2 linked regions of the Anolis sagrei genome follow. The protein of the gene in region 2 purifies or fractionates together with the protein of the main gene of each other region. This does not show direct contact. Links are inferred from orthologs where the notes say so. Each region holds a gene or a part of one and is shown on either strand. Other genes may lie near its edges.

What was found.
Region 1: the proteins of RPS6KA3 (region 2) and FGFR2 purify together in Homo sapiens (affinity purification with mass spectrometry; 3 studies listed by BioGRID and IntAct, counting the BioPlex papers as one, with this or other methods). This does not show direct contact. The link is inferred for Anolis sagrei from reciprocal best matches to the Homo sapiens genes RPS6KA3 and FGFR2.

The regions. Positions count from the first base shown.
Region 1 is NC_090023.1:200,544,723-200,556,194, forward strand, and holds the start of FGFR2 (fibroblast growth factor receptor 2), read left to right. Parts: upstream 1-6,284; 5' UTR 6,285-6,391; intron 6,392-11,472. UniProt on the Homo sapiens protein: Tyrosine-protein kinase that acts as a cell-surface receptor for fibroblast growth factors and plays an essential role in the regulation of cell proliferation, differentiation, migration and apoptosis, and in the regulation of embryonic development.
Region 2 is NC_090023.1:88,380,814-88,391,944, reverse strand, and holds the start of RPS6KA3 (ribosomal protein S6 kinase alpha-3), read right to left. Parts: upstream 5,084-11,131; 5' UTR 4,723-5,083; coding exon 4,645-4,722; intron 1-4,644. UniProt on the Homo sapiens protein: Serine/threonine-protein kinase that acts downstream of ERK (MAPK1/ERK2 and MAPK3/ERK1) signaling and mediates mitogenic and stress-induced activation of the transcription factors CREB1, ETV1/ER81 and NR4A1/NUR77, regulates translation through RPS6 and EIF4B phosphorylation, and mediates cellular proliferation, survival, and differentiation by modulating mTOR signaling and repressing pro-apoptotic function of BAD and DAPK1.

The DNA.
Region 1 (11,472 bases), about 110 Mb from region 2:
CCTTATGGAAAAAACACACACATAGCTCTTTCTTTACAAGGTTTTCACAATAGAGTTTATGCAGTTTGCCCACATTATGAAGTCCCAAGTCATGTGAACACCTCACATAACTTGGGACTTCATAATATGGGCAAAATTACCCATCCTACAATAGTTTCACCTAACTTCAGGGGCAGCCAGGCAAATCCCATCAGATGGCGTAGATCTACTTCCGGTAGGGCTCCGTCCTTGAAGTGAGGTGAAACTGTCGTAAGAAGCAGCAATAAGAATACAGTACGCTTCCTATGTTCTCATTGAGAAGATCAGGGGGAAGCTGAATGGCAATGCTTCACCCACATATGGGATGAGGTAAGGGGTGATGGATTCCTTCCACCCCCCTCCCCTGAAGAATTTACCATGATCCATGGAGAATCCCTCCTCTATCATCCACAATTTTGATCTCAATGTGATGAGGTCCTTAGCAGCTATGCTGTTGACTAACTGAGAAAGTGGCATCAATTTCCTTATGCATCATAAGTGTCTCATGACCTGAATGATGGTGGGTTTTTCCCCACATCACCTTGAGGATGGGCCCCACTAAGCTTAGTCTAGTTTGTAAATTTTTCCACTTTGTATTATATTGTGCACACAGCCAGGTATTTTACAACTGAGAAACCCCCCAATGTTCCTGCTGAGAGACATGGAATACAATGGAAATTAGAAACATGATATCCTATCACCATGTAAGCGTGTCTGAGTTTAAGATCATTGGGAGACGACTTTCTCCAGGTTCCACTTCTTTCATCAATATATTTGGTGAGGACATAGGAGACAACATTCTTGGTGGCAACTTGCAGGCTGTGGAAATCTCTCCCATAGCAGACTAAGCTGACGTCTTCCTTATTGTACTTCTAGTTTTTATATGAACATGTATATGATAATTAAGTGACTACACAGTCACCAGCAGTTGGTTTAACCATATGACTGGCACCATTTTGAAACTGTACCTATCATGGGAAGTGTTATGCCACTTTATGCATACTTAAGCCGTCCTGAGTCCCCCTTCGGGGGTCGAGAAGAGACAGGGTAGAAATACCGGAAATAGCTACATAGCAGATGGTCTAAAAAACTCTATGAATGAATTTCGATGATACGTAACAGGACACCAGCAAGAGTGCCCAAATATGAATGTGGCTCTACTAATACACATTGGCACTTCCTAGCCAATGTTCCAATGCACAATAGGACAAATGCATATTGGTTCCCATTGTGAATTAGTCTAATGAACATTGGTAACTTTGCTGGATCCCCTACATTGTAATTTAAGAGCAGCCTTTAATGAATACGCATTGCGGAACTGCCAGATTTTAATCCCTGTAGATAAAGTGCAGTTATGAAAATTTACGTCTCCAGCAGGACTCTGGCCATTATGTTCAGGTTTGATGAGACCAATAACAATACCCAATAACTACTGTTGGATGAAAAGCAGAAGTGAACTGTGCTGTGGCTTCAAAGAACAATATGTCTGAGAAGGAAGGAAAGAAACATACAACTGAAGAAAAGCTGAAAGTTAAGGAGCCGGGAGTGATTTATTCATTCATCTCTTGCAATTTTAGACCACCCAAAACCCAGGCCTTTCTTAGTTCTGTGCAGTAAATTAAAAACATAAAAGACAAACAATAAACAATGACAAACACATAATACACTCAGCCACAAAGCATAAAAGTATGCACCATATGATATAAAAGGAAAATAAAACTGGAAAGGAAAACAAAGGTGCGAAGCACTAAACACACTAATAACAGTTATTGAAATCTGGACATTTAATTTTAAACTGAATACACTAGATGAGCAGAAACCAATGAAGTAACTGGAACATGGAATTTCGCATTAAGAACAGAAGATAAAATTTCATATGGTTAAGAAAATTTCATATGGTCAAGAAACAGGAGATGTCAAGGAGTAGAAGCCCCTCGGATCCTTGACTAGTGCCTGCTGTGATAGGTTGGATGAGGACTAACAAACTGAAGCTTAATCCCGACAAAATAAAGGTCCTCCAGGTCAGTCGTGGGGCCGATTGGGATATAGGGTGGCAACCTGTGCTCAACAAGGTTACACTCTCCCTTAGGACACAGGTCTGCAGTTTGGGGGTCCTTCTGGACTTGGCTTTAATGCTTGATGCTCAGGTGTCAGTGGTGGCTGGGAGGGCCTTTGCGCTTCCCAAGTGTCTAGGACTGTGTGATGTATCGGCGAATAATGCATGCAGATCCCAGTAAGGTGGCCTTCTGTAGCTGGCAGATAGTAACTTTGTCAGCGCTGATTGTGTTTAAGTGCAGGCCGAGGTCTTTAGGCACTGCACCCAGTGTGCCGATCACCACTGGGACCACCTTTACTGGTTTGTAGAGTCTTTGCAGTTCAATTTTTAAATCCTCATATTGTGTCAGCTTTTCCAGTTGTTTCTCTGCAATCCTGCTGTCACCTGAGATTTAGACATCGATGATCCATACTTTATTTTTTAACATGGTTGTGAGGTCAGGAGTATTATGCTCCAAAACTCTGTCTGTCTGAATCCGGAAGTCCCAGAGGAGTTTGGCGTGTTCATTCTCTGTAACTTTTTCCGGCTTGTGATCCCATCAGTTCTTTGTCACAAGCAGATGGTATTTTGTGGTACAAGTTCCAATTAATCATCTGAGCAAAGGTGTTATGCCTCTGCTTGTAGTCTATCTGCGCGATCTTCTTGCAGCAGCTGAGGATGTGATCTATTGTTTCATCTGCTTCCTTGCAGAGTCTACATTTGGGATCTGTTATTGTTGTTTTTGTTTTTGTTTTTAAGCTATTATTATTGTTGTTGTTGTTGTTATTAATATTATTATTATATCTGGAAACATCATAAATTGTATTCAAACTTAAGTTTTTCTTATGGAGTTTAACCTAAGGAGTCCGATTCTGATATCAGTTTTGGTGGATTAAATCATCTTCATGTCGAAAATGTTGATTAGACATCAGCAACTTGGTCGCTTCCACTATGTTGGTTATTGCTGCTATTGCAATGTAAATTGGTGGAAAGGTAGGTAATGATGGTGTGAATAAAATAGCAAAATCTGGTTGAGATAGTGCTTGCAGTTCAGGAGGAACTCTAATTTTTGCTTCTCTTAGACTTAGCATAGGGACTTGATTATCCAGTTAAAATAACGAGTTAACCAGTTTTTTTTTAACCTGAAAGGTTTCAGGATGTATGTGTTTGGACCTGAAAAGTTTCAGGATGTGTGTGTTTGAACCTGAAAAGTTTCAGGATGTGTGTGTTTGAACCCATACCAACCCCCCACCCCCAGCTACAGGCTTGCATCAAATTAATATTCCTTTCACATGGCTGCAAGAATGAAGAATACAGACTCCTGAGAAAATGACTGCCTGCAATTTTTGGGTTGCTAAAAGAACTTGCTTGAAGCCACAATGCCTCTTGGAAGGCAATGGGATAATATTTCAGTCTTGGAGCTCTGACACATGTTGTGACAGCCTGTGGCAGACATGCCAAGAGCTTCATTCCATAAATCACATTTCGAGAAAAGGAGGCCTCTGTGCTCAGTAGCAGCAGCAGCAGTACAGCATAGACCGTTTCTCCTTTCTCTTGGCTCCTTTGCTCGGATGGGGGTGGAGAGAGCCTTAACCTTCCGCTCGTAGGACCAACGGAGAAAGAACATTGCATACAAGAGTCCCAGCTCTTGCTTTGTTAAACGAAATGAAGGCCATGTAAAGACTTCCTTTAAAAAAAGTTCTATAGTAGTGTTGCAAACATGGAGATTCAGTAGAATTCTGTTTTCATTTACTTTTTTGGCAGCACTTTTCAAGTCTCTTCCCTCTGCCTCCCCCCTATAGACTAGGTCCATTAATATGGGATGGAAACAAGAATAAACGTGTGTGTGTGCACACACACATGTATGTAGAGTATAAGAAACAGCACTTTTAACTTCTACCATGACTTTTATCTGCCATTGGGGGAGGTGTGTGTGTGTGGTGATGGATTTGAAGAAAAAAATACATTCCCAGAGTATAGTATACAAAATCTTCTTTCCCTTCATGGTGTGAAGTTCTAAAATATTTCCATTGTCCTGTGAAGGTTACTTACACCACAAATATATTTGAGTAACCTTTATAATGCTTGGATTCAAAATTCTGCAGCTATGGCTTACATGTGTCCTCCAAGCTCTGATTCGCTATTTCCATTGCTCTCTTCCCCCAAATATCGGATGGTCCACTACCTGGCAGTGAAATCAAGCTAATATTTATTTCCATGCTGTTTCCTGAGAACTAGTACTCAGGATAGTTTATGAATATTAAAACTGTTACAGATAAATATGTGTAGTATAGATTTTAAAAGGGGATCCAGAACATCTAGGTGATTTATTTATTTATTTATTTACTTTGCTTTGCAGTTTCTCAGCCCGTAGGCGACTCAATGCGGTTCACAACAAGAGCAAAAGTCAATCATAACAACATACAATTTGATGAGTGTATAATACAGCCACAACAGATTGAATACTATTTATCTGACCAGAAGAGCCACCTTCTAACAGTAGCTCAATGGTTGTCTCTTTTCACTCACCGTGTATGTGTCCTCACATAGTACACGCTTGGGGTCAGTCACATCTTCTCTGCTGCTCACCAGAAAATATTTGGGTTACAGATGTATAGGATTGGATTGATCATATTAATGAGCAAAGATAAGGATTTCCTAAAATCCCCTTGATTAATCAATTTCAAGAAGGGGACCAATACTAAAAGTGTGCTTACTGATTTACATGTGATCACATGATCAAATCAGACATTGATTTGGAGTCATTATTGATTTCCCCACCCTAGATTGTTTCCCCGAAGTGAACAAAGAGCTTCAGAGTTCAATCTGTCATATTTGTTTGAACTGATATGATCTGAGATTTATATGAAACCCTAATTTACTCCAAGCAAGGAAGGTTTGGAATGTATCTTATTGACACCTAGGAGCTCATCAGATTGAGGTCCAGAAGCTGGGAGACAGTGGAGGAAACTGTGGGAGAGCAGGAGAAATTGTGGGGCAGTGAGGGAAACCATGAGGGCAGTCCCCTTATCATCCCATGACATTTCCCAGCTGTCCCTGGTTTCCGCCTGTGCTGTCTGTAGCTTCTTCAATGAGGATACAGGTGACCTCAGGCCAGCCTCTGAGCACACAGCCGGGATGGAGCGAAGATGGAGCGCTGCTAGAAGTAGTCCTGATGGGCTCATATGACAAATAGTCATATGATGGGCTCCGTCAGGCTCCATCACAGCTCCGTCATGGCAACGTGCTAGGATGGGGGAAAAACCCATTTGATGAGGTCCCTAGTCTTGGGGGTTTCAATAATACATGTATAAATACTGGTAAATATACTATTAGATACAAAATATGGGCAGCACATTTATTGAATTCCAGGCCTATCAGGTATTTTCAAATCATGTTAGCTGTTATATATGTTATCAGACATAGTTCTTATAGACTGTCATTGCTGTTTCACAACTTACATCCTGTTTTCAAGCTGTGCTTTTTAATTAATGACCAAAAGTGAACATTTTAAAAAGTTGTAGAGCTATCATCCATAGACTGGAAATGGAGTTCATGCTATTTCCTGCTTTAGGAAAATGGCCTATGAGAATTTGAATAAAGGCTAGTGTTATTAAGGAGTGTATAATGGATGGAATCCTATTAGAGACTCACATCATCATAAAGAAATTATTAATTGTGCAATTGCATCTCCATATCCAGTAGAGGACTGCTTTTATGTTATTACACGCCCCAGTTTGATGCACAAGGGTATCTGATATGTAGCTAGGGATAAATGACATTATATAATGTCAAGTCATAAAGGATTCTGATGAATGTCCAAGTAATGACAGGCAAAGCCTAGAATATTGTGTCCATCTTCACTGTTTGCATCCCAACCACTCAATGTGATATTTTTGTGGCTGTGCAGCAATCACAAATATGTGAAGAAAAGACTGAGTTGCATTTTCTAACATCTGGATTATTAGTTGCCGAGTACACATAAAACTCAGAATGCCTGCACCAGATGCATCTTCAGATAAATTATCTGAATCCTGCATACTGAGTAACAATTCTGCATTTACCATGAACAAATATGACTCTGTCTTGTTCCGGAATGCACTGTTGCTCTCTGCATCATAAGGCACTCAGTGAGTTAACTTTGCATTGTGATATCATTTTCTGAGTTCCAAGCCTCTGCCTCTGTGTAAGAATGCCACCCACATGATAGGGGAGAGCTGTCAAGCTGAAACATGCAGAAGGTACTTAGACACACCTATTCAAGCACCGCTTCACCTATTCTTGAAGTGTCTCGTGTTCCTGAAACCTCCACATGTTGAACGGAGACGCCGAAACCAGGTACAGTAGAATTTACGAACAATTTGAAAACAAATAGGCTTTGTACTCAAGAGTAGAAGTGAACCCTATAAGAACATTATTACATGTTTCTTTAATGGTATTTTTGGGTGTATGTGTGGGAAATTATCTATGTAGTACAAGGGAAGTAACTCTTGGCAACTGCACGTTGCTTCTGGATGCCTTTGTGTTGTAAACTGGTGTTGTTATTTTACTATTGCTTCTACAGCTGTGTGCCTGGTTTGTGTTTACTGTGGAGGGGTAGTACAAGGAGCATGTTGGTTTCTTGCTAAGAATACATTAGGAACTATCTTAAAACTGATGAAGCAGTTTGGATCTGGGACTGAGGACAGGCAAACACTACCTTGCACCTTTCCCAACTTGTTGTATGTTTGTTTTTGAATATGCATTCCTGTAAGTTTTGGCTCTTTCTTCACTGCTTTGTGTATGGACACTATTTAGTTTCATACAGAACTTAGAAGACTTGCTCAAGATTGGCTCTATACTACAAAAAAGTACATGTGGTATCAAGTCGGTAGCTGCTAACCTTTTGTATGTCCAATTACCCATCTAATTAGAATAAACACTATGGGCCACTTTTGATAAAGCTTTATCTGTGTGCACACAACAACAGGCAAATGCAAACACATTCACTCACACAATGATATCGTGTCACATTTGTTTCACCTAAAAATACTGAATTAGACTACATTCGATTTCCAGTATTATTGAGATATTAAAAGTTGATTTGATCCTTTAAAGTCTTGTTTCACACAAATCCCCACTGATGACAAAAGGCACATATCTAATGAATGATGAATATATAACATAACTTTCTTATGGAAGCATGTTTCCTAATATTCATTATTTCTGCAGAGCCTTTTCCAGTAAAATGCCCTACCAGGTCTTTAAGTTAAGTATTAGTATTTTTATATACTACCAATCTAATAACTTGTAAGCCAATCTTATACCATTTACAAATAACTTGTATGCCACTCTGAATCCCCTTCAGGGTGAGAAGGGCGACATATAAATGTCATAAATAAATATAAATAAATAAATAAATAAATAAATAAATAAATAATAGATATTCAAATACATGTATAGGGAAAAAATCTTTAGACCAATGGTGTCAAACTTGTGGCCTTCAACTTCAGCTCCCAGAATTCTTGACCATTGGACAAGTTGGCTGGGCCTTCTAGGAGATGGAGTCACAAACACCTAGAGACACACAAGTTTGACACTTCTGTGCCTTGCCCATGGATCATATCTGGCCTGTGGGTCAGTGGACAACGTCCATCCCTTACATGTCTTCTGCTCTTTCCCTTTGGCCAGTGGTTCTCAGCCTATGGGTCCCCAGATGTTTTGGCCTTCAACTCCCAGAAATCCTAACAGCTGGTAAACTAGCTGGGATTTCAGGAGGTTGTAGGCCAAATCACCTGGGGACCCACAGGTTGAGAACCACTGTATTAGAGAGAGAAAAACTCAGTGTGAAGAGAGAGTAGGCAACAAAGGGGGCATAGAAAAATGGAGCATTTCAAAATACTATTTCCTATACAATTTTGGAGAAACAGATCTTAAGTTAGATCAGGCTTTGAAATCTCTGCTTGGCCATGAAACCCACTGGGGGACCTTGGGCAAGTCACATTCTCTCGTCCTCAGAAGAAGGCAATGGCAAATCTCTTCACAAGAAATCTTGCAAAGAAAATGCTGTGATAATTTTACCTTAGGCTCACCATAGGTTGAAACGACTTGAAGGCAGACAGGAACAAATATTGATTCTGATCTTGGATGGGGAAAAGAAACACGGTTATCTGTTTTCACCCAGTAAATATGAAACCTAATTCCCCAGGTGATCCATCTGTTATGTATTTTCAATGTGGCATACCCGATTCACCTCCCATACAATTCTCACAACAAGTTTCTATACGGTTCTGGCCCAGCTTACTTGTCCGAATGCATCCACCCCTACGTCTCACCTCGTAATCTAAGATCATCCGGGGAGGCCCTGCTCTTGCTCCCGTCAACAGCACAGATGCGTCTGGCGGGGACAAGAGACAGGGCCTTCTCGGCTGTGGCCCCCCGCCTATGGAACACACTCCCAAATGAGGTAAGATCCACTCCCTCCCACCTGGCTTTTGGAAAAAAATTAAAATCATGGTTTTGAGACCAGGCCTTCAGGCAGTAGAAGTAAATGCATGCAGCATTTCAGAAAAACAATGACTGGAATGGCGATTTGTTGTATGACACTGTTTTATTGTTTTAATGATTGTTTTATTGCTTGTGGATGTACTTTTAAAACTTGATTTATGTCCAGTTGTAGTGTATAATTGTAATTGTTTGTACTGGCATTGAATTTTGCCATTACTTATGTGTAAACCCTCGGGGTGAGAAAAGCGGTATACAAATACTATAAATAAATAAATAAATAAATAATTGGGAAGGAAGTGAGTCTCATGGGTGAGTGGGACTTTGTATCTGGCTCATTCTACTCCCAGCCTGACAATCTAACAAAACCTTGCTGAGTTTTCAATCATGATCTTAAGCCCTTTTTGTTTTGACCTGACCTCTGTGTGACTTTTCCCATTTCTTTGTCCTGGAATATAATTTAAGCAATAATAGGGAGAAACCCATTGCATCTTCTGCTGTGTTTTAATATGATTATACTGTATGATTTGATTTTCAATTTATGATGTTGTTAACTGCTTGGAGCACTTGATTTCGAAAAGGAATGGAACGAGAATATTTAAAAACATCTCAAAATAAATAGCATGGCTTGCCAAAGTGTGAGGTTTACCAAGCTCTTAGAGGGCTAGCATACATGGCTGGTCTCTCTGTGTACACAAGTTATGTCCATTTGCTGTTGCCTAAGTTATATACAGTGAACATGTCTGTCTGGAGAGAACCTTTCTCTGAGTATTTAATTTGTAGAAAAGACATCTTGGTGACGGGAGATCTCACAGTCCTGTGCAGAAAACAACAAGGTCAGATGGCTGAGGCAACTTTTAGTGAAAACTTTTAATGCATTGTTTCCTCTGAGACTCCCTGAGCCTTTATGGCTCCTTTAAAATGGAATTTGCAGCCCTGAAAGGCAGAGGGATTTATTTTTATTGTGAACATATTTTCCTACTGAAAAATTGTCCATATGTTTAAGCATTTGATGAATGCTACAGTACTTAATACTGTTTGCTATAATTTGGGGTTGTTGCATGTCCCCCCCCCCTCTTTTGAGTAAGTACACAGTATGTGTGTTGTTCATATTAGCTACATGTAACTATTCTCTCATCCAGATGTTAATACTCATGCTAACTGCTCCAAAGTAAAGCTTTTGCCAATAGAATAAGCAATGTCTTAACAATGGCAATTGGTTTTCTTTTCTTTAAATTGTGAAATGCATTGTGCTGATTTAGATTTGATATAAAGGAGGGTTGGGGAATCTCTCCCTCATTGTTTTTGCTTACAACTCCCATTAGCTTCAACCATCATAGTTAATAAGAAATAAGAAATGGTAGGGGGTAAAATGTAAAACATTTTGAGGTTCTCCAGTCTAAGAATAGAATGGAACTCAAAAAAGCATGGCCATGGAAGAGATATTTCTAGGATGTCTATGGGTGATAAAAACAACAACAGCCAAGTAGTAATTATTAAATGAATTCCAATTCTGTCACTTTATGGGTCATGAATGGAGAGTCTAAAAAGATGAAAAAGTGCTCATCTCCTAATATTTAATGCTGAGCACTATGAAGCAAGGGTTCCCACAATGATCTGGTAGAGGCAATGCATGTGCAATGGATTAGCATTGGAAATACCACCTTGCAGATTTCACTGACCTGAACTGGGAAGCAAAAAATGCATGATTACAACAGCTCCACTGGCTGCCAGTCTGTTTCCAGGCACAATTCAAAGTGCTAGTCATGAACTATAAAGCCCTGTATGGCTCAGGCCCAAGCTATTTGGCAGATTGTATCTCCTGATACAAACCTGCCTGGGTCCTTGGGAGAGGCCCTTCTTTTGGTCCTACCACCATCGCAAGACTTACTGAAATCAAGATATGCTACAAACATGGGACTCTTATCAAACAAAGAGATAAAGTTCTTCTGGCATTAACTTGTTTTCAAGAAACCCATATTGACTTTTTGTGAGCATGGCATTCCTTTCTAAGTGCTTGCAGATTGTCTCTGGCTGGATCTACATTGCCAAATAATTCAGAATGCAGATTAACTGCACTGAAATGGATTATATGAGCCTACACTGTATATAATCCAGTTCAATGAAGTTAATCTGCATTCTGAAATTGCATTATATGGCAGTATGGATCCAGTCTCCAGTGATATGCTCCAGAAACCTTCCTGATGCTGATGTCAGGCTGAGTGGACAGTAATTATTTGGATCCTCTTTCCCAGTCTTTTTGAAGATAAGGACAACATTGGACTTCTTCCAGTCTGCTGGAACTTCTCCTGTTCTCCAGGACTTCTCGAAGATGATTGCTAGTGGTTCTGAAATTCCCTCTGTCAGTTCTTTTGAAACTTGGATGTGATTCATCTGGTCTTGGAGACTTTTATTCCAAGACCAGATGCCTCTTTACCTATTTTGTGCTTTACTTATTCTGTACTGCATCCCTTGCTCAATCCTCCTCAAGTTGAGCACTGTTGTTGACCTTTTTGGGAGAAGATTGAGAAAAGGAGTTGTTGAGTAGTTCTGCCTTTTCTCTGTCCCCTATTAGGATTTTGCCATCACCTGTATGCAGCAGCCCCACCATTTTCTTCTTCTTCTTTTTAATGGACATAACAAAAAAACTTTGTATTGTTTACATATGATCAAAAGACGGAATCTGGTCAAAATGGCAAAAGTCATTAAGAGGAAGAACAGAGAGGGTATAAGGGCAGCTCTTGAAGCCTTGCTTCATACATTATTGTAAAGACAAAGAAAGCACAAGGAATCCATGAATGCTGCCATGAGCCAATTGGAGGAAAGATTAAAAGAAATAATGTATGAGCCTCTGTTGGTATTCTTCAAAGGGAAACCTAACAGGGGTAAACAGTATAGTTTAAAGGGCATTACTTCACTCAGAGAAATGAGAGTGA
Region 2 (11,131 bases):
GCCTAATTTAAATCCATCAGTTTCTATGTGGAGACAACCAACAAGTGATTTCATGAAGCAACACTGTGCATTGCTCAGCAGCATGAAGTTTGTTTACAACAGGGCTGGTCACACTCAATGATTTGTGGAGACAGCATAGTGGTCTTAGAATCGTGAAGCTGGCAGGCAAACATCCAACCACTCTACTAATGCAGAATATGTATCACAGAATCCCTGTCATGTGCTATCAAGTCCCGGGCTGAAACACAACAAAGGGTCCATTACCTTACAAGGCAGTATATTCCACTACTGATCATCTTGTACCATAAGAAACTGAGTCCTACCACATGCACAATAGAGGACCTTCTCACAGGGACACCAGAGGCACTCCAAGTGGCCAGTTTCTAGTCAAAGAACATTTAGCATAATGCAGAGTTCTTTTAAAAACTTTTTAAAAAATGCATTTTAACTGGATCCTCAATTTGCTTCTGACACAATAAATAAATACCATAAGAAAGTTGTTCATAATGTTTTATTCACATCCTTTTCTTCATAATTTGAACTCACTGTTAAAGTCCTACAGCCAGGAGCTTCAGAAAATACATTTCCGCCATCATTTATGTGACAGCCCTTCAAATATTTTAAGATGACTGTAATCTCAACCATTTCTTCTTCAGGCTAAATCTATCCAATTTCTGAAACATTTACTCGTAAGAGCTGGTCTCTAGCCCTCTCAACCCAGGTATATTGACCTATTTGTCAATATCTTTCTTAAACTATGATACCCAGAACATGCCAACATTACTTCTGTTTTAATGAAGACTCTAGCACTGCATTAACCTCTTAGCAATGAATTACACTGTTGATTTATGCTTACCTTGAGGATCTACATAAAACCTTATTGCACCCTAAAGAAGCTTTTTCTAGTCTGGTACTATTCTCCATATGTTTTGGACTACATCTCCCACTACCACTGACTTGGTCTTGCTAGCAGAGGTAGCTATAGACCAAAACATCTAGAAGATCTATGTTGGGAGATGCTGCTGTATATGTTGCATATAACATGCATTACATGTCATAAGGATTTTTCTAACACTGCACTTACACCCTACGACTTCATGCAAAGATGCATTTTTAGGTTTTTTTTTAAGTGACTCTTGTGATGTGCAGTTTGTACACAAGATATTAAATCGTTTCATCACTGTAATACTTCAAAGACAAAAATGAAATGTTTTCTACAGAATTTAGTAATTAAAGTGTTATTAATGGAAACAGAATGGAATTTAATTATTTGCTATGAATTAAGTGGTTTAAACATGTTTTGAATTTAGGGAGCTTTAATTATCAGTAATTCATTACACTTTAAAGCATTTATAGAGCATCTGATCTGAGGGTTTTCTCAGAAGTATATTCTGAAAGTAAATCATGAAGGGTGACTATCCCAACTTAATCATGCCACAATAACAGATGTATTAAATAAAGAATAAGTTAGGAAGTGAGAACTAGAAAGGAACATGTCAAACAATGATCACAACTTCCTATGCTTGTGCCTTCCTTAAAGTAGCAGGAAGTAAGGATTTCCCTTTAAAAAAAGGGGGGGGGGGCAACTAACTTTCATGTTCATAATTCCTCCTCCCAGTTAGAATGTGTGCATAGAGGAAGTTGACCATCTGAGCAAAATCTGGGGGAGCAGGGAAAAGATATATAAAATGAAAGTAACCAAACACTAACAACGTGAACAAAAGCTACAACACTGGAGTTGGCACTAACCATTTGACAGCATCTCTCTTCAAGTGTACATAAACAGAATACTATTAGCTTCAAATAGATGTTGGGGAGGCTGAGAGATGGGATATCCCAGGAAACCCAAAACTACTCCTCCTTCAGATCTGTTGTAATATGAATCACTGGAGGAAAGTCCCATCCTCCTCCCTTTTTTTCCTCCAGCCACAGACCTTCACTTGACCAGGAGTCACATTGTAATCCAAGGTATTCTCTCTCTTTTTTTACCACTTTCAGGCAAACACACCAAACAAGATGAGAGGGGATGAAATCTGTGCACTCAAAATCATGCTGTGGACTCTGAACACATAGAGCAAAGAGATTTATCTATTCGTCTGTTGTGTGAGATGGGAGATTAAAACGCTAATAATGTCTAAAAGCAGAACTGGATTGTGAAACCACCCTTCCGCTTTCTCCACCTGCCTGCCTCAAGAGGGAAAGAGTAAAAGCATTGGGGTGTGGGACATGATATTAGTCTGTAGCATCAATAACAAAGACTAGTCTTGTAACACCTGAAAGGACTTATCAAATTCATTACTATTTATAGAAATCAGAAAATGTTATCCCTAAAAGTTGTCAGGTAGAGAGAGTGAGTCCTAAAGACACACAATGGTAAAGGTAATGGATGAGTACTTTGACTTAAGAGTAATTGAATTGGGGGTGGGAAAGTGGAGATAGACAGGAGTCGATGGCAAAACAGGCTTCAGATAGGAAGAAACCAAAGCACTAGGCATAAGGGTGGCCCTTCGATGCTTCTTCCCAACTCTCAAAGTACAGATTGAGTATTCCTTATTCGGAAATCTGAAACACTCCAAAATTGCCCATACAGGTGACTGAATTAGTGACAACTTAACTTTCTGATGGTTCAAACTTAAAACACAAATTAATACAAAAATGTGTTTAAACTTACCGTCAGGCTATGGATATGAAACATATGTTAATTTCCTGTTTAGATATACCCATTTCCAAGATATCTCAAATATTCCAAAATCTGGTGTGTGTGTCACCTCAATCAAAAAACGCTTCAGGTTCACACTTGCCTCAAACAAATATGAGTTCTTTCTCCCATCCTGGACATTCCACAGATATATATACACCTCCCCTGCCTAGTTTCCAACAAACCTCACAACTTCTGAGGATGCCTGCCATAGATGCAGGTGAAACTTCAGGTGAGAATGCTTCTGGAGCATGGTCATACAGCCCAGAACACTCACAGAAACCTTATCACTGTTAGTTATCATTTTACATTTTAAATAAAGGGCTTTCTGAAATCCTGGGTTGATATGAGTTTTCTGGGCTGTATGTTCCAGAAGCATTCTCCCCTGATGCTTCATTCTCATTTATGGCAGGCATCTTCAGGATGCGGTGAAACATTCTCACAGATGTGGGCGAAACGTCAGGAGATAATGCTTCTGGAACATGGCCATACAGCCTGGAAAACTCACAGCAACCCAGTGCCATCTTCACTTCCACAAACTTTGTGTTATGTGCAATACATTTAAGAAAGTTACGTATAACCTTCAGGGTATGAATATAAGGTGCACATGAAACACAAGTTAATTCCCTGTTTAGATTTGGGCCTCCTTTCCAAGGTGTCTCATTATGTATATCTAAACTATTTTTAGGTGAATTTGTTGTTTTGAGGCACTGTGTATGTGCCATTGTATGCCGCCTTGAGACCCTGCTGGGATAGAGAAAGGTGGGGTATAAATACGGCAAATAAATAAATACTGTATATACTCGAGTATAAGCCTAGTTTTTCAGCCCTTTTTTTAGGCTGAAAAATCCCATTTGGCTTATACTCGAGTCAAGATTATTTATTATTTAATTCTATTATTATTATTATTATTATTATTATTATACTCTAATTACATTTATTATTTTACTCTATTGTTATTATTACATTTATTGTTTTACTCTATTACTGTTATTATTACATTTACTATTTTACTCTATTATTCTTGGAAAGATGTACAAATATATTTACACTGAAAAAGGTTGGTATCATGGTTTAATCAGAGTTGGACAGTCTTATCTTAAATTACAGTTTTATGTAAATATTCAAAAACATTTCACCTACTGTTTCCTCAATTAATGTAATTTTATTGGTATCTATATTTATTTTGTATTACCGGTAGCTGCTGCATTTCCCACCCTCGACTTATACTCGAGTCAGTAAGTTTTCCCATTTTTTGGTGGTAAAATTAGGTGCCTCGGATTATACTCGGGTCGGCTTATTCTCAAGTATATATGGTAAACACATGAATAAATGCAAATTCATTCAAAAAATGAAGGGGAATCAAAAATCAAAAACACTTTAAAGTCCCAAGTGTTTCAGACAAGGATAAGTGACCTTCACTTCCACAAACTCTGTTTTATGTGCAATGTAATTAAAAATGTTATGTACCACCTTCAGGCTATGTATCTACAGTGTGTTTGAAACATATGCCAATTCCCTGTCATCTCATTAGGAATATCCAAATAATATGCTAGATCAAAAACACTTCAGGTCCCAGATAAGGACAAGGACACTTCCTTAAAGTTGAGTAGTTGAGATAAAAAAACCTGAACGTGGGGTGCGGCACCTCTCCCCAAAACAGGCATGGGTAAACTTTGGCCTTCCTTCCAGGTGTTTTGGACTTCAACTCCCACCATTCCTCACAGCCTCAGGACCCTTCCTTTCCCCCCTCAGCCGTAATTTTTAATTACGCTAAGCGGCTGAGGGGGGAAAGGAAGGGTCCTGAGGCTGTGAGGAATGGTGGGAGTTGAAGTCCAAAACACCTGGAGGGAAGGCCCAAGTTTGCCCATGCCTGCCCCAAACCTTTTCCACACATACCCCCCTTCTCTCTCCCGAGTTGCCCCGCTTCCTGAGGGAAACTCTACCTCGGCGCTGTTGCCGCTTTCCGCCGCGTTCTCCACGGCCATCTTCTGCCAGGGGTCGGCCAGCTGCGCCAACGGCATGGTGGCCCCTTAACCTGAAGCGTCCCTTCCTCCCTTCTTTTTCCGCTTCTTCCTCCTCCTCCTCTTCTTCCGCCGCCTGCTTTTCCTCAGAGTCCCACTTCGGCTCAGGGTCGGGCTCCTTCCTCCTCCCCGCCGCGGGGAGGAGACGGGCGGAACACGCTCCCTTCCTTTTCCCTGCTTTCCTTCCTTCCTTCCTTCCTTCCTTCCTTCCTTCCTTCCTTCCTTCCTTCCTTCCTTCCTTCCTTCCCTCGCGGAGGGAGCGCAGGACTTTCCAAGCCGGAGGGTGAACAACCAGCAGCGCCGCTTCTGCCGCTCAGCCCGCTTCCGCTCCCAATATGGCGGCGCCCGAGCCGTACCTGCCTGTCAAAACGAAGGGGGATGGCGTCATCCCAAGGCGGACCAATCAGAGGCGGCGGCAGGTAGTTTTTAAAAGAGGGCGTGGCTTAGGAGAGGAGGGGGCTGGAGAGTTAATCTGGTTGCGACAGGCGTGGGAGGGGGAAGAGAGAGCCGGGAAGAGAGAAGGAGAAGGGAGGGGCTCCCTGCCTCGCGACAAAGCCCAGCCGGTCCCGCGCGTCATTCCTGGCGCGCGCCTTCCCCGCGTCAGTTCAGTGGAGTGAACCCTTCGCCTCCCCCAATCGCCGCCGCCCGCTTCCAAGCCGTGACGACAGTTCGCAGTTGGAAAAAAAAAGTCATTGGAGTCGTCCTCCTCTCCCTCCTCCTCCTCCTCCTCCTCCTCCTCAGGAAGTGGTTTCCGTTCTGGAGGGAGGCCTTCAGTTCTATTACTTTCGGCCTTTGTTACTTTGGGGATAGTATGATAGCTGTGTCCGGAAGCGCACATTTCGTAACGGCGTTCGTGAATAAGGGAAGAAAAGGGGCGGAGGGAGAACGTGGAGAGCGAAGAAAGGATAGAAAGGAGGGGGCGCTAAGGGTAAGGGCTAAGGCAAAGTTTAGGGTTACGCTTAGGGGTTATTTATTTATCGTGTCAGGGGCAGACCAAACAGTTGCATATGTTTATTTTTTAACAAACAAACAAAACACAAGTTTGCAAGATTGGTAGTTGATTAGATGTCCTTTGACCAGTATCTGGCCACTTGGAGTGCCTCTGGTGTCGCTGCAAGAAGATCCTCCATTGTGCATGTGGCAGGGCTCAGGTTGTATTGCAGTAGGTGGTCTGTAGTTTGCTCTTCTCCACACTCGCATGTCGTGGATTCCACTTTGTAGCCCCATTTCTTAAGGTTCGCTCTGCATCTCGTGGTGCCAGAGCGCAGTCTGTTCAGCGCCTTCCAAGTCACCCAGTCTTCTGTGTGCCCAGGGGGGAGTCTCTCATTTGGTATCAGCCATTGATTGAGGTTCTGGGTTTGAGCCTGCCACTTTTGGACTCTCGCTTGCTGAGGTGTTCCAGCAAGCGTCTCTGTAGATCTTAGAAAGCTATTTCTTGATTTACGTCGTTGACGTGCTGGCTGACATCCAAATGGGATGAGCTGGAGATGTCACTGCCTTGGTCCTTTCACTATTGGCTGCTACTTCCTGGTGGATGTCAAGTGGTGCAATACCGGCTAAACAGTGTAATTTCTCCAGTGGTGTAGGGCGCAGTTACTTTGGTGATAGTATGATAGCTGGGTCCGGGAGTGCCAGGCGTTACGCACATTCCGCAATGGCGTTTGTGAATAAGGAAATAGAGGGGGCAGAGGGAGAGCGTGGAGAGCGAAGAAAGTATAGAAAGGCGGGGGCACTTAGGGTAAGGCTAGGGCAAAGTTTAGGGTTTGGGTTAGGGTTACGCTTACGTTTGTGAATAAGGGAAGGGGTGAGCGGCTCACTGAGGGCGGGAATATACTTCAGTTTGGTGGAAGGATAGAAAGGAGGGAAGGGTTTGGGGTAGGGTTAGGCTTAGGGGTTAGGGTAAGGTTTAGGGTAGGGGTCCTCAAACTTTAAACAGAGGGCCAGGTCACAGTCCCTCAAACTATTGAGGGCCGGATTATAGTTTGAAAAAAACATGAATGAATTCCTATGCACACTGCACATATCTTATTTGTAGTGCAAAAAACATGTAAAAACAATACAATACTTAAAATGAAGAACAATTTTAACAAATATAAACCTATTAGTATTTCAATGGAAAGTGTTGGCCTGCTTTTGGCTGATGAGATAGGATTGTTGTTATTGTGTGCTTTCAAGTAGTTTCAAACTTGAAAGCACACAATAACAAACTCAAATTTACCCTGAGCGAGGACTGGGTAAATGACCTTGGAGGGCTGCATCTGGCCCTTGGGCCTCCAGAAAGGCTATATATCCCAGGATCTGATCCCGGGTTTTTTGTTTATATGAGTTCGCACTACCAGATAATCTGGGATAAAGAAACGGATCGGATCATGGGATATGGGGCCTGCTTGGAAGGGCCCTAAATGAACAGATGGTGCTCCTAAGTGTTGTATTTGGCTCAGTGCTGTGGAATCCTGGGATTTGTGGGTGTATAAAGTCTGTATGTAGCCTTACAAAATGTGCTGCTATGTCACCGAGCTACATTGCACCATAGTATTGAGCCATGGTGTTCAATGTCATCATAGCATTGAGCCATGGCAGTTAAAGCAGTGCCAAACTGTTAATTCTACAGTATATAATGATGCATCCAAAGTGTTCTGTGGCACTGTAGAGACTAACACAAGGTACATCTATACACTGAGGGTTGAGAAGAGTCAGGTGCAAATATCTGAAATAAATTATTAATGCAGTTTGGCATAACTTCAGTTGCCCTGGCCCAATGCTATGGAATTCTGGGATGTATAATTGGTAAGTCCCCAGCACCCTGGCAAAGAAAGCAAAAGATCTTGCAAAACTACAGCTACCAGGATCCCATAGTATTGAAGCCATGGCAGTTGAAGTGGAGTCAAGTATTGGCATATCTGCATTTATTCTAGTTTGAGCTGTTCCCCATTTCCACAAAGGGATCTTCATTCTGTTACAAGCTGAACATTCCTCACCCGGAAATCCAAAATATCCAAAATGGTCCACACAACTGCATGAGATAGTGACACCTTTACTTTCTGGTGGTTCAGTGTTCACAAACTTTGTTTCATGCACAACATTATTAGAAGTATTGTGTATAAAGTGACCTTCAGACTGTATATGTAGCAGGTGTATATCAGGCATGGGCAAACTTCAGCCCTCCAGATGTTTTGGACTTCAACAATTCCTAACTCTCCTAATTGTGAGAGTTTAACTCCAAAACACCTGGAGGGCCTAAGTTTGCACATGCCTTGTGTATATGAACCATACATGTATTTCAGGTTTCAAGTTGGGTCTTCTTTCCAAAATATCTCATTATGTAAATATTCCAAAATCCAAACACTTCTGGCCCAAAGCCTTGTGAATAAAGGATACTCAACCTGTATTACACTTTAGAGAAAGAATATTCAATCTGCAATTTGGATAATATTATAATTCAGAAAATGTGATTATAGTTTATGGAAGCCCAAATATATAATTACATTTTATTACTGTCTATGCTTTCATCATGGTTAACAGTCTTTCCTTTCTTTCTCTACAGTAGCCTCTCCTTGTAACAGCCGTTTCTACACTTTGAAGATGTAAAGCTCAATCTATTTTTTTTTTGTCCATGAAATGCTGTGTTCATTTATTATTCTGTAAATAACTTCTGCTTTTGTTGTTCTGAATTATAAATTCAACAGTCCTAGGGGCTGAACACACAAACCCACAGCCAACCCTACTTAGAACAACCCCCAAGATGCCTGGGATTGCTGCTTTTCTTTGGATCTGCTTACTGTGGGCTTCTTTTTTTCTAAGTAAACATACATCAGATGGTGTTGCAAAGATCCAGTCCTGCTCAAACTCAATGGGACTTCTAAGTAAACATACATAGTGTTGTGATTTTAGAATAGATTTAAAAATAGCATGCTCCAGGAGAGGAAACGCTGCAGGGGTGCGGGGGAGGAAATTCAGAATACATTACGGGACTTGGAAAGCCATCCCCTTCTTCTGCCTGCAATTTCCTCTTGTTTTGTTTTGTTTATTTTGCTATTTTTCTCACAGCAGGATCTATATCCAATCAAAGAGTCTCGCAGGGAAATAAATGGCTAAAAATACTACATATTTCAGGGCAGAAAGCATAGTGATGCCGCACTTTGAAGCTTCTTGACTACACTTCCTGCTTTGTAGGGGTTTGGTAGGGAGTGACTCAGTCCTGATACATAGGGCTGCTGCTACCATTACATCCAATTTGGCTTTTATAGTTGGACATGAATATCCAGGCTTTTCTTGAAATACCGCCAAGTAGGAAGCCTGTTCTCTTGCTCGATTGTTTTGGATGGCTAGAGGCGCACATTTCCTGATGGGATTGAAAATATGACATAGTGTATCAGAATGGCCAGACAGGAATCTTATTTACCTGTCTATACATGACCTCAAGCCACAAAGGAATATTGATTCCTTCATTCTGTGTATTATGAAAGAGATAAGAGGCGTATAAATGCATTTAACTGGAACTCAGCTGTGTTGAAATACTTTCTAAAAATGGTAGTATTAAACTAGGATAGCTAGTGATGGGGTATACTCCATTGACCATGACATGACCAAGTTTTCACAACTGAAAATATACTCGTCTGTGGGTCTTCTGAGGAGCCAACTGACTTGTTAATTGTCCCGTTATTTTGTTCTCTTTGTGTATATGATATATTTTTTTTCCTCTGCTCAAACTGACAATCAGTTTGCAGATACTCACATGATCATTTTAGCACGTGAGTAGTTTTCTATCATTTAATCTCCCTGCAGTGTGATTTGACATCCTCCAGGAATTTAGAATATTTGCCAGTGTTCTGATGTAATCTTGAGAATGTGGATGTGGGTGGGATTGTTGCAGCCACAAGCGGGAGATCTAACGAAGTACATTTGAATAAATGGGGATGCTCCTCTCCCAATTTTCATTCTGAGAGAAACACCAAATGCTCATTTGGAAGAGTATCCGGAGGACAGATGGCTCTTTTTTCCTGTTCCATTCCTTCTGAGAGGAAAAAGGGGGGAATCTATATATTTATATGTATGTGACACACCTTCAAAAGCTAACTAAAATGTGGGAAGAAGATTGAATATTTATCCTTATGGAAGAACTATGACTAATAATATGGTATGTATAGCATACTGTACCTGTGTTTCCACCCTTTCCATCCTGTACCTCAAAGATAATATGCATGGTCTTTCCTCCAGTGGTTTTATACTAACAACCACCTTATGGAGCAAAAATAGTACCTGTCCCAAGTTCCTGCACCGAGCCTCATGGGTAAATGTGGATCTGACTCTGGATGTTACACCTTGTTGTTCAACACTCTAGGTCAGGATGTCAAACTCATTTTCACGGAGGGCCACATCAGCCTTATGGTTGCCTTCAAAGGGTCATTTGTAATTGTAAGATTGTATAAATATAACTACTTCTTAACATACTGTTAAATAGCCTGAGAACTATATCACATAGATGAAATTATGTTGCTCTGGAGTTAAAAGCCCAAAATATAGTGGTATATGAATACAACAAAAAACTGGCAAAAGAAGGCAATCCATGGACAGTTCCTGGGAAAAATTGAGAGCCAAATTGACAAAGAAAAAACATGGCTGTAGCTCACAAATGGAACTCTGAAAAAGGAGATGGAGGGCCTGATTCTGGCAACCCAAGAACAAGCCATTTGAACCAATGCCATCAAAGCCAGAATTGAAAAGCAGATAACAGATCCCAAATGTAGACTCTGCAAGGAAGCATATGAAACAATAGATCACATCCTCAGCTGCTGCAAGAAGATCGCACAGACAGACTACAAGCAGACACATAACACTGTTGCTCAGATGATTCATTGCACCTTGTGCCACAAATGCCATCTGCCTGCGACAAAGAACTGGTGGGATCACAGGCCGGAAAAAGTTACAGAGAATGAACACGCCAAACTCCTCTGGGACTTCCGGATTCAGACAGACAGAGTTTTGGAGCATGATACTCCTGACCTCACAATCGTGTTAAAAAACAAAGTATGGATCGTCAATGTCGCAATCCCAGGTGACAGCAGGATTGCAGAGAAACAACTGGAAAAGCTGACACGATATCATTATTTAAAAATCGAACTGCAAAGACTCCGGCACAAACTAGAAAATGTGGTCCCAGGGGTGATCTGCTCACTGGGTGCAGTGGCTAAAGACCTTGACCTGCACTTAAACGCAATCAACGCTGACAAAATTACCACCTGCCAGCTGCAGAAGGCCACCTTACTGGGATCTGCACTCATTATTTGCTGATTCATCACAGTCCTAGACACTTGGGAAATGCCCAACGTGTGATCCAATACAACAGCCAGTGGAGTGATCTTGTCTGCTGTGGACTCATCTTGTTGTGTTTCAAATAATAATAATAGCA